Oreochromis niloticus: one gene and its partner. The protein of the gene in region 1 purifies or fractionates together with the protein of each later gene. This does not show direct contact. Links are inferred from orthologs where the notes say so. Each region holds a gene or a part of one and is shown on either strand. Other genes may lie near its edges.

The links. Proteins that work in one complex are often made in the same cells at the same time.
Region 2: the proteins of ccnk (region 1) and cdk12 purify together in Homo sapiens (affinity purification with mass spectrometry; 6 studies listed by BioGRID and IntAct, with this or other methods). This does not show direct contact. The link is inferred for Oreochromis niloticus from reciprocal best matches to the Homo sapiens genes CCNK and CDK12.

The regions. Positions count from the first base shown.
Region 1 is NC_031980.2:2,995,030-3,002,928, forward strand, and holds the start of ccnk (cyclin-K), read right to left. Parts: upstream 3,012-7,899; 5' UTR 2,825-3,011; coding exon 2,817-2,824; coding exon of another isoform or gene 2,816-2,816; intron 2,058-2,815; coding exon 1,821-2,057; intron 1,467-1,820; coding exon 1,385-1,466; intron 1,291-1,384; coding exon 1,159-1,290; intron 1-1,158. Other genes in the region: bcl11bb (B-cell lymphoma/leukemia 11B), read left to right, coding at 7,633-7,696. UniProt on the Homo sapiens protein: Regulatory subunit of cyclin-dependent kinases that mediates activation of target kinases.
Region 2 is NC_031969.2:26,959,158-26,966,888, reverse strand, and holds the start of cdk12 (cyclin-dependent kinase 12), read right to left. Parts: upstream 3,017-7,731; 5' UTR 1,672-3,016; coding exon 506-1,671; intron 1-505. Other genes in the region: fbxl20 (F-box/LRR-repeat protein 20), read left to right, coding at 6,820-6,861. UniProt on the Homo sapiens protein: Cyclin-dependent kinase that phosphorylates the C-terminal domain (CTD) of the large subunit of RNA polymerase II (POLR2A), thereby acting as a key regulator of transcription elongation.

The DNA.
Region 1 (7,899 bases):
AACGCTGTAGGCGCTGGAAATACTGCACATGTTAAAAAACATGAAAGCTCATTTTGGCAATGAATGGCAAGTTTCCATTACCTTTACTTCCAATTAGTAACGATAAGCCAGATGAGAGTCAAATGTCTGAACTTTTCATTTAAAAACACTTGAGTAAGAAAGAAGCTAATGTACAATTCTGACTTAATGACAGTAGTTAAGCTACTAAAAACTGGTGAGAAAAGCCAGGACACTGGCTAATTCTAGCATGACGCTAAACAAGTTAAAGAGCGACTTGGAAAGCAAACAAGCCGTCTGTATGATGCTTGTGCCGCTCCATATGAGTGCTGGATCTAATCCAGAAGAGTGTTTGCTGTAAACGTGTCTAATAAAGTGTCAAGTTATAAGCCAGGTCCAGATGTCACAAATGCATGCTCTATCAAAAGTACTCAAGGTCAGATTAAGTGAAACAGAGGCTACTTCATGCTAATAGATATTTTAGCTCGCCAACTGGTAAGAGGAAAAAAGAAAAATCTTGAATGTTGAGAGGGAGTTGTGTGTTTTTAATAGCAAAGACGTGAAGAGGCATAATGACATAATCATACTCCACTGCATTTAAAACTTGTTCTTGTTTGGTTTTGACCCCATGACAGCAGAGGGTAACTGGTCTGATTACTGTCTCTGTGAGTCAGGGCACATAAAGCTGTGCTGAGTGACGCTCTGATGACCTCGCTGATCTGTTTAAAGAATGAGTCATGGCTTACTGTGGTATTACGCACCTAATGCACCAGCTTAAAACTAAAGAAATGTAAGCGTGTTTGAGCAAAGCTTTGTATGCAAGTGAACACAGACAGTTATTCTAATAAAAGCGAGGAATAAAAGTTTGTTTGTAATGCAAGCCTGCCTCACTTACAGGCAGCTAAGGTAAATAAAAGCCCTGATCACTAAAAAAAATAAGTAAGGAACTTTTTAGGTTATTGAAAACTCAGTCTTCAGTTTTACCAGGACCTCATTTATTCAAGCATTAGTGACGCTGTTATTATTGTCATCTGCCTGTATCACAGTGAGGCCTGTGACCACTACACACTACCTGTTTTTAACAGGTATTCACACCCATTCTGCTTCTGCTATCACAAGGCAAAAACATCTCAAAACAAAGGTGAATACAAGGAACTGCACCTTGGGATCATCTCCAAACTGTGCAAACTGCACATCATTCAGGAGGCTGCGGGCAGTTTTAATGATATCTTTGCACTTCTTTGGGGTTTCCTCTACTTTACCAGCCAAGAAAAGACAACAAGCTCCCGTCACCTGTCGAGACACATATCACACCATTACTTCACCATTACAAACATCAGGTCTGCTTCCAGGAGTGAAACAATCAGGGACCATTAGATTTACTTACATATCTGGGAAACTGCTTGAAGGAGTGAAACATGTAGAAGCGGTGGAAATATATGATGCCCGTTGCCAGTGTGTCGTAGTGTCTAAATGCAGGTCAAGGACTCACAAAGACTAATAATGGTCATTTGCAAAATATCAGCTTTAACGTGTGACTCTTTAAATTAAAAAGAAAAAAGTTTTTTTCTTTTAATAATGATTCCACAAACATCATTATATATATAAGTATATCAGACAAACCCTGTAAAAATGTTCACATTCACATCAAAGTAGGTTCTGTGAGAAAGGACAAGACAGCCATAAAAGACGTTTTCAGATGTACTGCTTTTTAAAAGTCTGTTTATCTTTAACTATAAAACTGAAGCATGTGGCACTGATTAATCGTGTGACCCTTTCTCTTGTAGCTGTAGCAATAAATCTATCATCTAAATCAAGGATACAGGCCAAGTCGGGTCCCCACGTCGAATATGAAGCGAGCCCCTTCTCTGCGATACCGGGCCTCTGTGCCAGGGTCCAGACCCTCAGACTGAGAGGGCGTGTGGGCTAAATCCTTCTTGTCCCAGTACCAGCATGGTTTTATATGGTCCAAGATTGCCTGGCCCGTCATTGACGAATTTTCCTTGGATTCCTTCATTGATTGAGGAGAGGCGGTGGATGGACCCGCTGTGCTGGACTGCGGAGATAAAAATAAAAAGGATCATCACTAAGGGCAGCAAAGCATTAAACAGCATAGCTTACACAAGTAAATATTTACGTTCAGGCAAAGAGTACCACAAATCTGCCTATAACCTGGCCACGAGTTTACGTCCACTCGCTATTTTGTGTAGGCCATAGCGTAGTTTTATACACACACTCAGGCTTATAAACAGTGTAATTAGCTTGTAGTCCACAGTGTGAAACGCTAAAGAGCAGCAAACATTTCTGAGCTGCATTGTGCTCCAAGTCCAGGCTCGTTGTAAATAAATAGATGAGTAAAATGGATTCAGACAGCAACATAATATATCTATAATTTCCATGCATGTGTAAATCTCGTCTCCCAGTGTGCCTACAGCAGCACAGCAGAATCAACAGCCTAATGTAGACACAGCGAAAATGCTTTGCAACGAACCCGCTACTGCTGGCACTGTTAGCTGTGATGGTAACTTAGCTTCGTAAAACTAAAAAAGCAGCAAGGGGCGGAGATTAGGATAACATGAGCCACACACTCGAAGTGGCTTAAACGCGCCGATAGGCTAACATTTATGAAACTCTCCAACTGAAGGCAACCAACGCTGTCACATCGACAGGGCCACTCTGCACCAGCCTCGGCTAGCTAAACCTCGGCTAGCAAACTTGCTCAACTCGGTGTTAACGCCGAAGCTTCCGACATGTCACAAGTAGTTCAGAATTCAGCCTCTTCATCTCCCTCCCGCTTCCAACGAGACACAACTCTTACCTTTAACATGTAGACGTCCGAATAAATCGCCTAAATCAGACAGTTGTAGCAATAATCCACAGTTGATCACAATAAGTTGGCTAACAAGTGAACAACAGACCCCATTGTAACAAGGGCACCACCATTTTGCGGTACGTCAGACCATTGGAAGACGTCATCACGCAGGCACTCATGTACACGTGCTCTCGGGTCACATTTTTCTTTCCATTTCCGCTGCTACATTAATTTCATTCGTGTTTTAAGTCTAACTAGCGCTGCTGGAAACAGCCCGCCTTTCCTGAAAACATTTTAAATTCTTATATTCTTGATAATAATCTAAAGGATGATATTCCCAATAATATCCACTAGAGGGAGACACAGATTCACTCTTGGACCTTGGCGGTCAGCATTGACTTAGCATTGACCAAATAGTTTACATGTGCAAATTACAAGCAAGCAAGCAAATATTATTTACATTGTGCTGAATAGTCACCGGTTATTTTCACACCTGGTGAGTCCTGCAGCAGGTAACACCCAAACATAGAAATATGCTCCTTACAAGAAATATCACTGGATGTAGCAGTAGCAGGATGTAAAAGGAACCCAATCAAACAAGTATGAGTTGTGACCAGTATAAATGTGAATCTGCAGGTAAGTTAAAAATTAAATTAAAAAGAAAAAATGACAAGGTTAAACACGTATAATACATAAACTGAAGCAGATTTTCCTTTGTCGTTTGATACCTATAGATTTTTATACTCCTGTATATGTTACAAACAGACTGCTGATGCACAACTGGATCTAAGAGTAGATGAGTTTTGCTGGTATTTGCCTGAGAGTGCACATACTAAAGAACACTGGGTCCAAATCTACTCTGTCTGACTCCCTAAAATAAACATTGCTGGTTTATTTTACTGATTAAACACAAGCAAATCCCTCATTTTTTAACTCAGTGCCGGCGTTATCTTCTATATTACTCGTGAGTTATTTATATCTAATCAAACAACACGTACACGTTTAAAATTTACCTTAAATGTTGGTTTTGAGCTGTATGCACAGAATGACGATGATATTAATTAATACGCAAAACAATATATGCACATGAGATTCAAACTGCAAATAATTATCATGTATTATCTGTCACGATGGCATCTGAGTTCAAACATGAAGGTTGTGAGACAGGACAGATTATGAAAGTTTACCACCTCACCCTGCTGCAAAGGAGAAGGTGAGAAAAGGGACTGATTAGGACAAAAAAAGAAGTTGTTTGTGGTGTTTATTGGTAATGGAAACTTGCTATCATATTAACCAAAAAGGAATTTTAAGCAGGAAAATGAAAATATTAGAAAAGTAATTTTCCTTTAGGCTCCTGTTGTTGACATGTGAAAGGTGCAGCATCATCTGTACTTGTTTAAATGTCACTGCATAAGAGCGGGGTTTGCAAGTAACATCTTGTGCCCTCTGCATCCCCCTCCCGCCCAGTCTCACTTCTGAGAAAAGCCAGCATTGAATCATTTACTCCGTCCAAATTAAAATTTGGAATCTGCATGCATTATATATTCACCCCTGCTCGGACAAATCCTCTTAACTGTGGGAGAAATTGTCAGGATGTGTCCTGTAGAAAAGTAAGAGCCTTGTCTAGTTGTATTGCCTGTAGCAAGGGAGCATCTCAATCTGTCACTCAAATCCACACACACACACACACACACACACACACACACACACCAGCCACCGTAAATCAGCTTATGAATAATATATACTTATACTTTCTTTATTAATATTAAACATTGCATAATGAAGCGCCGACTATAAGCAAATCCCAGAGCAATATTCATATTACCCCAGCTCTCCTGGAGTGGACCTTTCATTGTTTATGTCAGCTCTGTCACGCTGTGGTTAAACGCATTGAAGACTGTCTCGAAAGGTCTGCACACTTAACCCTAAAAACTGTATAAAGTGCAGTTTCCGTCATGTACATTAGTCTATTTTAGGATACTGTATTAATGTCTTTGTTGTATTCTTTAGAGAGTAAATAAATGGGAGGGACATGAAAAATGGAAGATGTAAGGGATGCAATGATGGAGGTGACCCAGAATCAAAGCCGGGTGAGCCGCGTGTCCACTCAAATGCAAAAGCTCCTAATTTTTTTAAAAACTTTGTCACCGGGCTCATTATTTTAACTGTAAGTTACAAACGAGGCAGATCTTTCTAAATTCAGTAGATTCTGGAAAAAGCGATTGCATGTCAGCACCGTGGCCCCTTGTAAGTTGGACAAAACTTTCACATCTTGCTTGGATGTTGCCCCGTGGTGTGTTCAGGTACCTCCTCTTGAGCGACCACACTTAGCATGAGAGATGCATGTCTCCTTGGAGGCAACATTTGGACTTAAAACCTTTCCTGTGTCCACAAGCGGGGTATTTGTGCTATGTTGGCCCCATGCAACCCAGCTTTAAACTGCCTTTGCCCAGAGCCTGCAGTTACAAGCTATAATGGAGACATTGATGTATTATTGAGAAACCCATGGGTAAGGATCAAGGAGCTGCTCGCAGCCGGCAGGGATGGCAAGAGAGCGAGCGAGAGAGAGAGCGTGTGTGAACTCAGGATAATGTTTTCCTTCAGCATTCAATATGTCCACGACTGCTGTTGCTCTCTTGGCCCGACGCGGAGTCGAAGACTCTCCGTGTAATATCACATATCGAATTTATGCGCTCCAGTCAAAGCAATATGCTCGACAACATGCTTGGCCTATCTGTGAAAGATAGCTGTTGTGCCGTAGTGTTTCCATGTGGCGTCTGCTGAGGTTACGTCTACTTGAGCCAGAGCTGAGATGACATTTCATTTATATAAATAATTACTGTCCTGAAAGTCCCCTAGGCCTGCCCCGAAGCAATCAAACTTCTAATGCTCTTAAAATTGCCCACCATGTTTTATTAATGGCGGGCTGTAAAATGTATTGCTGTGGCTGCACACTTCTCTGCTGATCTACGAGGAAACAGTGTCAACTTTAAACGGCCGTGTGAGGCTATTATTTTTATTCAACAATGTATTTCAAGCAAATTACGGCACGGCACCAGTTTGGACTGTATGGTGTGGTGGCGTTAGGGCTGTACTAACCTGTATCTCAATGCAGACCTGTACGTGTGCAATTACCTTCCCTTAGTGCTATTAATTGCCTCTTAGTGAACCCGATCTGCTTTTCCAAGGACTCTCTCTCAGACGCTGAACTGTGTAAATGGCAAATTAAGGAGGCTTCATTCTAAAAATAGGGATGGAGTTTAGTAATGCTGCATTAAGGTATCACTGCCTAAACAGGTTCTCCAGACTGTGCCAACAGAGGGTACTGTTGCCTCACAACATATTTAAATGATCCCCAACAACAAAGCTACAGCATGGGTTTTCCACCCTCTGACTCAAATGTGAGTAAGTACTGCATGTATGATGCCATGTGTCCTGTGCAGTGCTTCAGCGTTTACATAGTCGACAAACAGCAACACAAAGGATTGTCTAAATTAAAGGTGACCCTTCATCCAAGTTTGACTTGGACCTGATCTAGGTGTTTGCTGTTCTTGTTTTAAGATCATTTCCATCTGGCGTGCCTGGGAGACTTCTGTAAGCAATGATGAGGGGTGGTGGTGGTGGTTCTAAATAGGTAAAAGGTGAAATGATCAGATTGTTTTACTTCATAGTATTTGTGATAGAATTACCAAAAAGAAAAAATCAAGTGAAGGTGAATTTTGGCTGCTAACTTGACACTGCTTCCAATAGCCAGACGTGAGCGTGCCTGTGAAGTAGCCACTGCTGAGTGATGTTTGCGTCTGAAGCTCGTGGTGGAGCTCTGGGGAGCCACTGCTGGTTGCCCCCCGCAAATTGTCTCTGTGTTGTCTGCCGTTCACACCTCTGTAGTGGCTGATGTCTTGGACGCACTTAAACTTGAATGAGGCAACACCAACCACACACACAAACACACACACATGCGGGGTCGCCCCAAACAGGGCATGTTTCGTCGTGTGAGCTGCAAAGACGGCTCAATAGGAGACACTGGAGCTTGTTGGAAGGAGGGGAGGGAGGTGTCTCTTGTCCGTCTGCCCGCCTGCGCTCTCTCTCTCTCTCTCTCTGTCGCTTTCTCTCCCTCTCTCAATCAACGCGGCTACTGCCACGAGAGCCAAGAGTTGCCGTTTCTGCGCACCGATGCCAAAACGCGCGAGGGGAGTCAGTGCCAAAGGGTCATTGTAGCGCGCCACTGCTGAGATGGAAGGACTGTAGGGAATCCTAAACTAAAGAGCCACCATTTGAACCCAGATGATATAATTATATCATTAAAATTAAAGAAAAGGGAGAGGAGTTAAATAGGTGACAACATCCATCACTGGTGGAGTGCTCCGTAGGCTACTTAATCTGTCACCGCGGTCGCTGCAGAAGCGGACAGTCCAGGATTTTTTTCCCTTTCCTTTTCCTTTTTGGTTAATCTGCAAAAGGTCACTTTACCGGCGCACTCATTAGCTCATCGGTCGTCTGCAGACGCTTCCTTGCTAAAACTACACTTTTTTGGCGTCCTTAATCCAAGTGTTGCTTCCTCCGAGGCGCAGCAGGACACCGTGGACTGAGCGGTCCTCCATCCTTATCGCGCTGCTGTCCGACTGGTGATCTTTCCAAAAACAAAAAGAAAAGAAAAGAAAAAAAGACGAATCAAAGTTCCAGCTAAAGACTGTGAAAAGCAGCAGGGGAATACAAAAGGGAGCGGGAAGTCGGGGACCCGTGATCCAGAGAGGACCGACACCACGGTCCAAGCCGACTCCAAGTGCCGTTCACCGGGCGATGCCAGAGTAGATGCCGGGGCAATGTCCCGCCGCAAGCAGGTGAACCCGCAGCACTTATCGTTGACGCACAGGGAGACAATACAAGGTGAGGTTAATATCTTTACACGCTCATCACTTCCTTTATCGTAACATTTACTGCTTTGCAATTTTGTCGATATTATTATTTAGCCCGATTCGGACTTTCGGGCCAATATAAATAAATAAACAACTAAAATGATTAATAACGCACTTTTCTTTTAGTAAAACACGAAGACAGCACGTTTTTTTCAGTGATTGCAAAAAATGCGC
Region 2 (7,731 bases), on another chromosome or scaffold:
CAAATAAAAATCTGTTACCTTCTCTATAAAAGAATGTGAAGCACTCCTAAAACTAAGTACCGGGTTTCATTAAAGACAGCTGTCTTTTTCTGAAATCAGTGGCAAGTATGTACTCTATAGCTCAAAGGTAATTATGAACACAAATACTTATGGTCACAGAGCCAGGGTGTAGTGCCCTAAGCTTCTCTTTTTGAATTGAAATGACAGCTTAAGGTAAACCCTGTTTTCAAATACACGTATTGCCAATCTCCATCCTGTAATTTTCTCACTCTCAAGCTTTTGTCTGTTATGTATGGTAAATTTCAACTTCAATACAGAGATCGATTAGCTGGAGTGAAAAGCCCTCTCCAAGTTCAACATATTTGTCTAACCTCAAACTTAAAATGCATGCAAAGTGAAGGTGCTGGAAATATGCAAAACCTCTATGGAAGGTGGCTTAATGAGTAAATGTCTCTAGAACATAATTCCCAATAGATTTTAAGGGTGACCTACAGCATATACTCACCGAGACATGGGGCTCGTACTGGAGGACCTGCGGTTACCATAGGGGCTCATGGAGCGTCTCCTAGAGTAAGGGCTGCTGTCCCTCTCAAAGCTGGAGGACCTGTGTCTGCTGCCGTAGGGGCTGTCTGATCTCTGCCTGCTACGACGAGACACATCACCATAGGGACTCGGGCTTTGCTGGGCCGCCCTCCGTCTAGAGTAGCTGTCATCCCCCTGATGTCCATACCCACTGCCCAGTGGACTCTCACTGCCGGCCCCTCTTCTGGGACTCGGCGACAATGCAGAGCTGGTGCCCTTTCTCCGTGGGCTACCCCTACTTGAAGACTTCCCCTTCGGGCTTGACTTGTGGCTCTTAGAGGACTTGCGATGGCTTCTATCTGTCCGGCTCCTCTGGGAGGAGCTGCGACTGGCCTCCCCTCGGCCTTCTCTCCGCTGTTGCCTGTCTTTGCGAGACTTCCCTGAGCGGCTGCTCTCCTTACTGCGAGATGAGGATGTGGAAGAAGTAGTGCTACCTACACTGGCTGCAGGCGGTGCCTGGGAGGAGAGCATCAGCTCCCCACGTTTGGAGTCACCCTCTGACGGCACCTGGCGTTTAGATGAGGAGCCTGACGAGGCCTCCTCCTTGCCCTTTCCAGAAGTCACTTTCTCGCGATCTTTACTGCTCTTTTTCTTGTACCCACGTTCTCCATTTCCAGATTCTCTAACTTTGTTAGTGTCCTTGGACTTTTTTCGTGGGTGTCTGTGCCCCCTGCTCTCTCTATTACCTTCTTCTTCGCCAATATCCCTATCGTAGTCTGGCGAGGGTTCCAGTCGATTTCCCCCCCTCTCAAAAGGCCTGGAGGACGGTGGGTCCGAGAAGGTGTCCGAGTCGGAGCTAATATCGTCGTACTCCACTAGAGGCTTCACCGTGTTGACACCAGGAGGCGCCGTATCGCCGAGGGTAAAATCGTCAGGTGCCGCCAAGGATTCCCGATTATGTTTTGTTGATTTATGCCGTTTGCGTTTTAAAGAAGAGGAGGACATTGAAGTTTTTAACTGCACCTTGCCGTCCTTGCTCATCATGTCTCCCGCAGAGGTATGAGTCGGGCCCTGGTTCTGGTGTGGCACACCACCGATGCTAGATTCCGGCTTCCTCTTGGTCCCATGGTGTCGGTCCGACCCAGGCATCCCTCACGTCGGCGTCGGTGCCTCTTCTGCGACTTGGCCTCGGTGATCCAGGCAATTCATTCACAGGAGACCAGTAGCAACTCCAAATGTCAAAACAAGTCTTACTAAGCAGAATCAGGACAAGAAAATACAAAAATAAACACACCAGGCCGCTTACGTCCACTTCTCCTCAATGCCAATTCATTCCATTGAGATCGCCAGCATATTTCGTCAAAGCAGATAAATGCCAAGTTGGTTTTCCAGTGCTGCGAAGTTTGTACTTTCAGTTAGTCAGCGAATGAAAAAGACTCCAACCAAACATCGGATCATTGTGGTGTCGTCTCCGTCTCAGTTTAGCTAGCACAGCTAGCTAAAGCTCGGCAGCTAGCGAGCTGACTCCTAAAAAAGAAAAAAAGTCCCTTTGTGAAAGCTGTCCTTGTCCGGTGCCAAGTTAAGTAAAGGTGTTTTTATTCCACAGAATACGGTCTTAGCATTCAGAAACAAGCAAATGCCTTCATTAAAAGACGCTCGTTTCTCCAACAAAATGAAAACTTGACCCGGTTGGTACTGTTTACATGTTCCCTTTAATGTAAGTTTTATCCCCTATAAATTCAATATTGATAAGAAATTATAATATTTTCGTGTGCAGGAGATGTTCCAGTTTATTATCAATGGCTCTGGAAATCAACCAGGCCTATATTTAGGGCGATGCTAGTGGATTTAATATCATCCACAGCCCTAGCTCAAGGAGACTACAAACGCCATTATGGCTCCTGTAACTAGCAACTTCTGCGCACAGCCGATTGAACCGGAAGACGGAGCACTGCCAATCTTGACTGTATCCGAGCAACTTCCTATCAGCGCAAAGATCCCGCCCACCGTCCTCATGGCGACACGACAGAGACGTAAAATGAAGAGATATGTACTAATTTGCAAAAGTACGTTTTTAAAAACTTTCCAAGTTTCAGATAACACATTTAAAACAACACACATGTTAGATGTCAGGCTCATGATGGGTTGTTAAATGTTGAGCTTGTTGGAACAGAAAAGGAAGACACTGGGGCAAAGATAATAGAGCAAAGTCTTATTATCAACAGGCAGCAGGCAACTGCCTCTGGGTCCTGAAAGCGTCAACATATTTAACCTACTACTAAGGTTCATTAACTTACATGGTAAGGTCTTTTTAATAAGTTCTGCTTCACAAGATAAGCATGAGGTCCAGTCTTAGGTGGGCGTCTTTCAAAATATAGTAGTCTTTTATTATGCTATCCCAGAGAAATCCATGTTTAAGTAATGCTCTAGTAGGAAAAAAAAAAGCAAAGAGAAGATCTTGCAAAGTGTTTAGGAGAAATCCACCAAAGCATGACTTTATGTTTGGGCTTGTCTCCTTAATAGTACTTTACATATCAGCAGATGGATCAGCAGATGGATCAGCATCCTGCGTATTGGTAAAATAAATAGAAATCTACATGTCTTAAACAATACAACAATCAGACAATGGTCACTTGGAAGGCAGTGAATGAACCAAAGCTGCCATGAAAGAAAAACAGCATATGTTCTTGCCCTGTGACTGACATGTGACAGTTTCCCTGTGGGTATCTGTGGTTTAGGATTTTCAGGTTTACGTGTACACAGTATATTTTAAATAGAGAGCTGTACTTTATCTTACTGAAAAAAATAAAGTAGTTATCACAATGCACAGTTTCACTAAAAGTATATGATATCAAATGGATAATTAAGCAGAGATCTTTCAGATTTTTTAAGGACAATGCTATATTTAAGTGCATTTATACACACACACAAAAACAAAACAAAACACACTGACATGTCTGCTGGTTGAAATTGAGGCCTGGATCTTTACGAAACACACAAATAAGGCATTTCTGGGTCAAAACTTTTCTATGTCTTTCTGATAAAACTCTTTCAAGCTACAGACACACACACAAAGACACAGTTCTTGTTGTTGTTCCCTCTGATGTCTCTTTGTCCCCCGATGACCTCCCTTTCTTCACTCTATTTGTTGCACTTGTTCATATCCTGCTACTGGAGGAGTGTTAAAACAAAAAGTCATGCAAAAGTACGACCGAGAGAGAGCTTTTTTGGGAAAAGCATGCTTTTGGGATATTTCCTCAAAATGATTGAATAATGAATATTTTGTTCTTTATCTAAAAATAAAATAAAATAAAATAATGAATGTGAGAATTTTTCAACAGTGATTATGGTTTTTTTAGCTTGCGGTGCAGCCAGTGTGAAGGCACCCTAGCTGCTTCATTTAGATCCAACTAAAGTCCGTTAACTGCTACTACGGATAATCTACCGATTATCTTACATGTAAATCTTGCTAAACTTTAAAGTTAACCCCAATGTTTTCTTCCTTAATTTTCATGAAAGTCGCACATCGTTTTTTTTTGACAGCAGGTACCTATTTATACGCTTGTGGTTTGTACTTCACAGAGCAAGTTTTGGGTGTTAATTTTTTAATATAATGTGATAATACAAAAACAAACCCTTTAAAAGACTAGTAAAATTGGGTATATAAACACATTTTATATTACTTGTCATTCCTATACTTGGAATTTAACTTTCATTCATGTGAACTAACTATTTCTTTTCTAGTCTTCCTTAATATTCAGAGCTTTATCTATCTCACATCTCTGTTGTCAAACTGTTTTTTTAATGCCCCACCTTCAGAAAACCTTCAACATTTTTCCCTGGTAACAACACACCGTTTGAAAACTACTCCATTAACATAACAAGCATCTGTCTTTGGACCAAAGAAAATCAAGAAAATGCCTGGAAAAGGCTGAACCCCGACCTTATTTCTGTGAGAAAACAGTACTATCATCTGCACCTCTATGTCACTGATATACAAGACCTAGACAGAATAAACCTAGTCAGGTATTTAATGCCTTACTTGTAACTGAAATAGGAAACCAGGTAGCTCCCACATATCACATATTAAGAGTATTAAAACACTGAGGTCCAATGAACAGTACTAGAGAGCACATTTGTTTGGATTATTCCTTTAGGGATAAAATTGTCTTCTACTGTATGCCTCTTTCTGGGTGTGTATTTTTGTAGATTAACACATTTGCATATACACTCATAACTGATTTTATTAGGTACACTTTGCCAGTACCGAGACACTTGCCTTCAGAACTGCCTTAATTATTCATGGCACAGATGCAATAAGATCCTGAAAACATTTTGATCCATATTGACATCATAGCATCACACAGTTGCTACAAATTTGTCAGCTGCACATCCATGATATAAAGCTCCCATTATACATCACATCCCAAAGGGGCTCTATTGGATTGTGATCTGTTGATTCTAGAAGCTGTTAGAGTACAGTGAACTCACTGTCATTTAAGGAAACCAGTTATTTGAGCTCTGCAACATGGCATGTTATCGTGCTGGAAGCAGCCATCAGAATATCCGAAGATCCAAATGTTGCAAGACTTATCAGACCAGATAACGTTTTTCCAAGGTTTGATGTGTTGTGCATTCATGATTGCTCTTCTGCATAGATTGGTTGTGACGAGTGGTTATTTGAGTGGCTGTTGCCTTTCACACAGCTTGAAGCAGTCTCGCCACTCTCCTCTGACCTCTGACATCAACAAGCCATTTTCACCCAGAGAACTGCTGCTCACTGGATATTTCCTCTTTATTTTGGACCGTTCCCTGTAAACCCTAGAAACAGTTGTGTGGGAAAATCCCTGTAGATCAGCAGTTTCTAAAATACTCACACCAGACTATCTGGCACCAACAACCAAGTAACATTCAAAATCTCTTAAATAACTTTTTCTTCTCCATTCTGATGATAAATTTGAACTTCAACAAATCTACTTGACCATTTCTAGAAGCTGAAATACATTGAGTTGTTGCCATGCGATTGGTTGATTAGATAGCTGCATTAAAGAGCGGTTGAACAGATGTATCTAATAAAGTGGCCAGTGAGTAAAGAACAAAAGATGCAAAGGTCCTCTTCAAATTCAAACTTTGGGACTAAAAGAACCCAAAAAGAGTATATTGTTTACACACATTTTAAAAGGTGTTTCTTTATCCTAAGGCGCATCAGGAGATAATTGATCAATTGAAAATCACTGTTTTCTTAAAGTTACAGAGCACCATACCCCAGTCACACACTACTATTTGCGTATTAGAAATTAAGAGAACATATTAGCTATCACTGGCTTTGCTATAGATATATTGAATGCTCAGTGTTGACTGGCATGTTAGTTTTACGCTCTACGATGACGCAGTATTACGAGCTGCCGTCCTTGGATGCTGATTGGACACGCTGTTGAAGAGGGGTGTGCCCGAGGAGAAACGAGGAAGTGGCGTTTCCCTATTGCAATAACAAAGTTGGAATGTTTAATAACAGAAGATGAGATAGAATAACCTAAAAACGAGTGTTAGCCGTTACTGATAGTTAATAAAAGGCCGAACTCACAGGTTCTATTCTGGTTTTAATACTGTTTTTAATACAGTGGAAAGGTCTTCAAGTGGCAGAACTCATATCAGACATGCACTTCACTTCAGATGTTTTTGTTTCATACTATACGAGAAACATAATTTTTAGCCTGTGTTTTCTCACAAAGTCCGTATGAACTTTGAATCTGATCTAACTTTTTAATTATAACATGTGGCCCCAAACCCATAGGTATTCATGCTACGTGTGCGGGCAAATGGTTGACACCCCACTTTGATATTTATATTTGCTCCTCTGTGAGCTTTGGTTAAAGGAGCAGCCAGCGAGCGAGAAATAGTGCGCACTGAGCAAGGTCATTATATTTATTATTTTTCATATTAATGTTATTTATTTATTATGGATGTAGGGGTTGTACCGGTTGAATTTTAGTCTGCCCCATTCCTGTCGGGCTATTGTGTGGATGGATAGAAAGCTGTGCTTATAGGGGGAGGAGGAGGTGAGGGCGAATCGAGCTGATAAGAGAAGTGGCTTATGGCTGGCTTGCTGCTGCTCGCAATCCATATGATTTGTTTTTATCGGTAACTAGAGGTTTTGTGGTTCGTGGTACAGGTCAAAATACATCAAACCACCGGAGCTACCGAGAGGACGGTAGCATGATAATCGTGGAGAGGGCCCGTATCTGCATTTTACTGCGCCTACACCGAATCCATTGAGTCGGTTTACCAGCGTCCGACATGGGGAAGGAGGTAAATGGTGTTTCGCGGAGCCGGTTTGAGGTGAGTTAATTATTTCCATCAACTGACAGTCACTGAAACACATTTAAAATAGCCGATATAACCGCTAGGATGCGGGCCTGCGTGTTGACTGTTGCTATAATTATTATAAAACTGCGCTTATGGGGAGGCTATTGATGCAGCTTCCGCAGTCGGTGTTTGGGATTAGGTCAAACACTGTTGTGTTATTCAAACAACATATAGGCCTGGCGTGGTGAGGACGCACGTCGGTATTTTCCACTAAAGCCGACGTGCTGCTCGCAGCCACTTTCAAGGCATTTTGAGTGCTCTTTAAACGTTGTCCTCGTTTCCCTTTGCGCCGTCAAAACAAAGACAATGAGGCTACACAGAGCACGCCGAGGAAAGCTTCGGCACACGTCAACATAATGAGCAGAAGTTGAGGATTTAGGTGTTTCACTTTGAAAAGAAGCTGCTTAAAATTATCCTTATAGGCAGGATTGTTAAGTTTCCCCCTTCTCTCTTTTGAGACCTTGTTATGTATGCTATATCTATAGCCGCTGCGGCGGTGGTGGCCTCAGTCTGCTACCTGCACCCGGTGTTAGCACAAAATATCTGAAAATAGTGCCGAGCTACAACAGTGCAACACACATCATAACCTATACTCGTCTAAAAATGCCCATATGTACGCTGTCTACCTACAGTGTCGTTGTTGTTCGTTTTTTTTTTTTTTCCAATGCAAGGCTATTACCATAAACTTTGTGTCGCAGCCGCGCAAGCGTAGCTGAATATTTTGGTGCGAACTTGTATACAAACAAATGTATGCGGCCACTGACATTGGCCTGTATAGCCCGAGCATTTGATGTTGTTTAATCCCCAGCTAGCGTGGGATTTGTGTGTGGTTTTATTTATTTT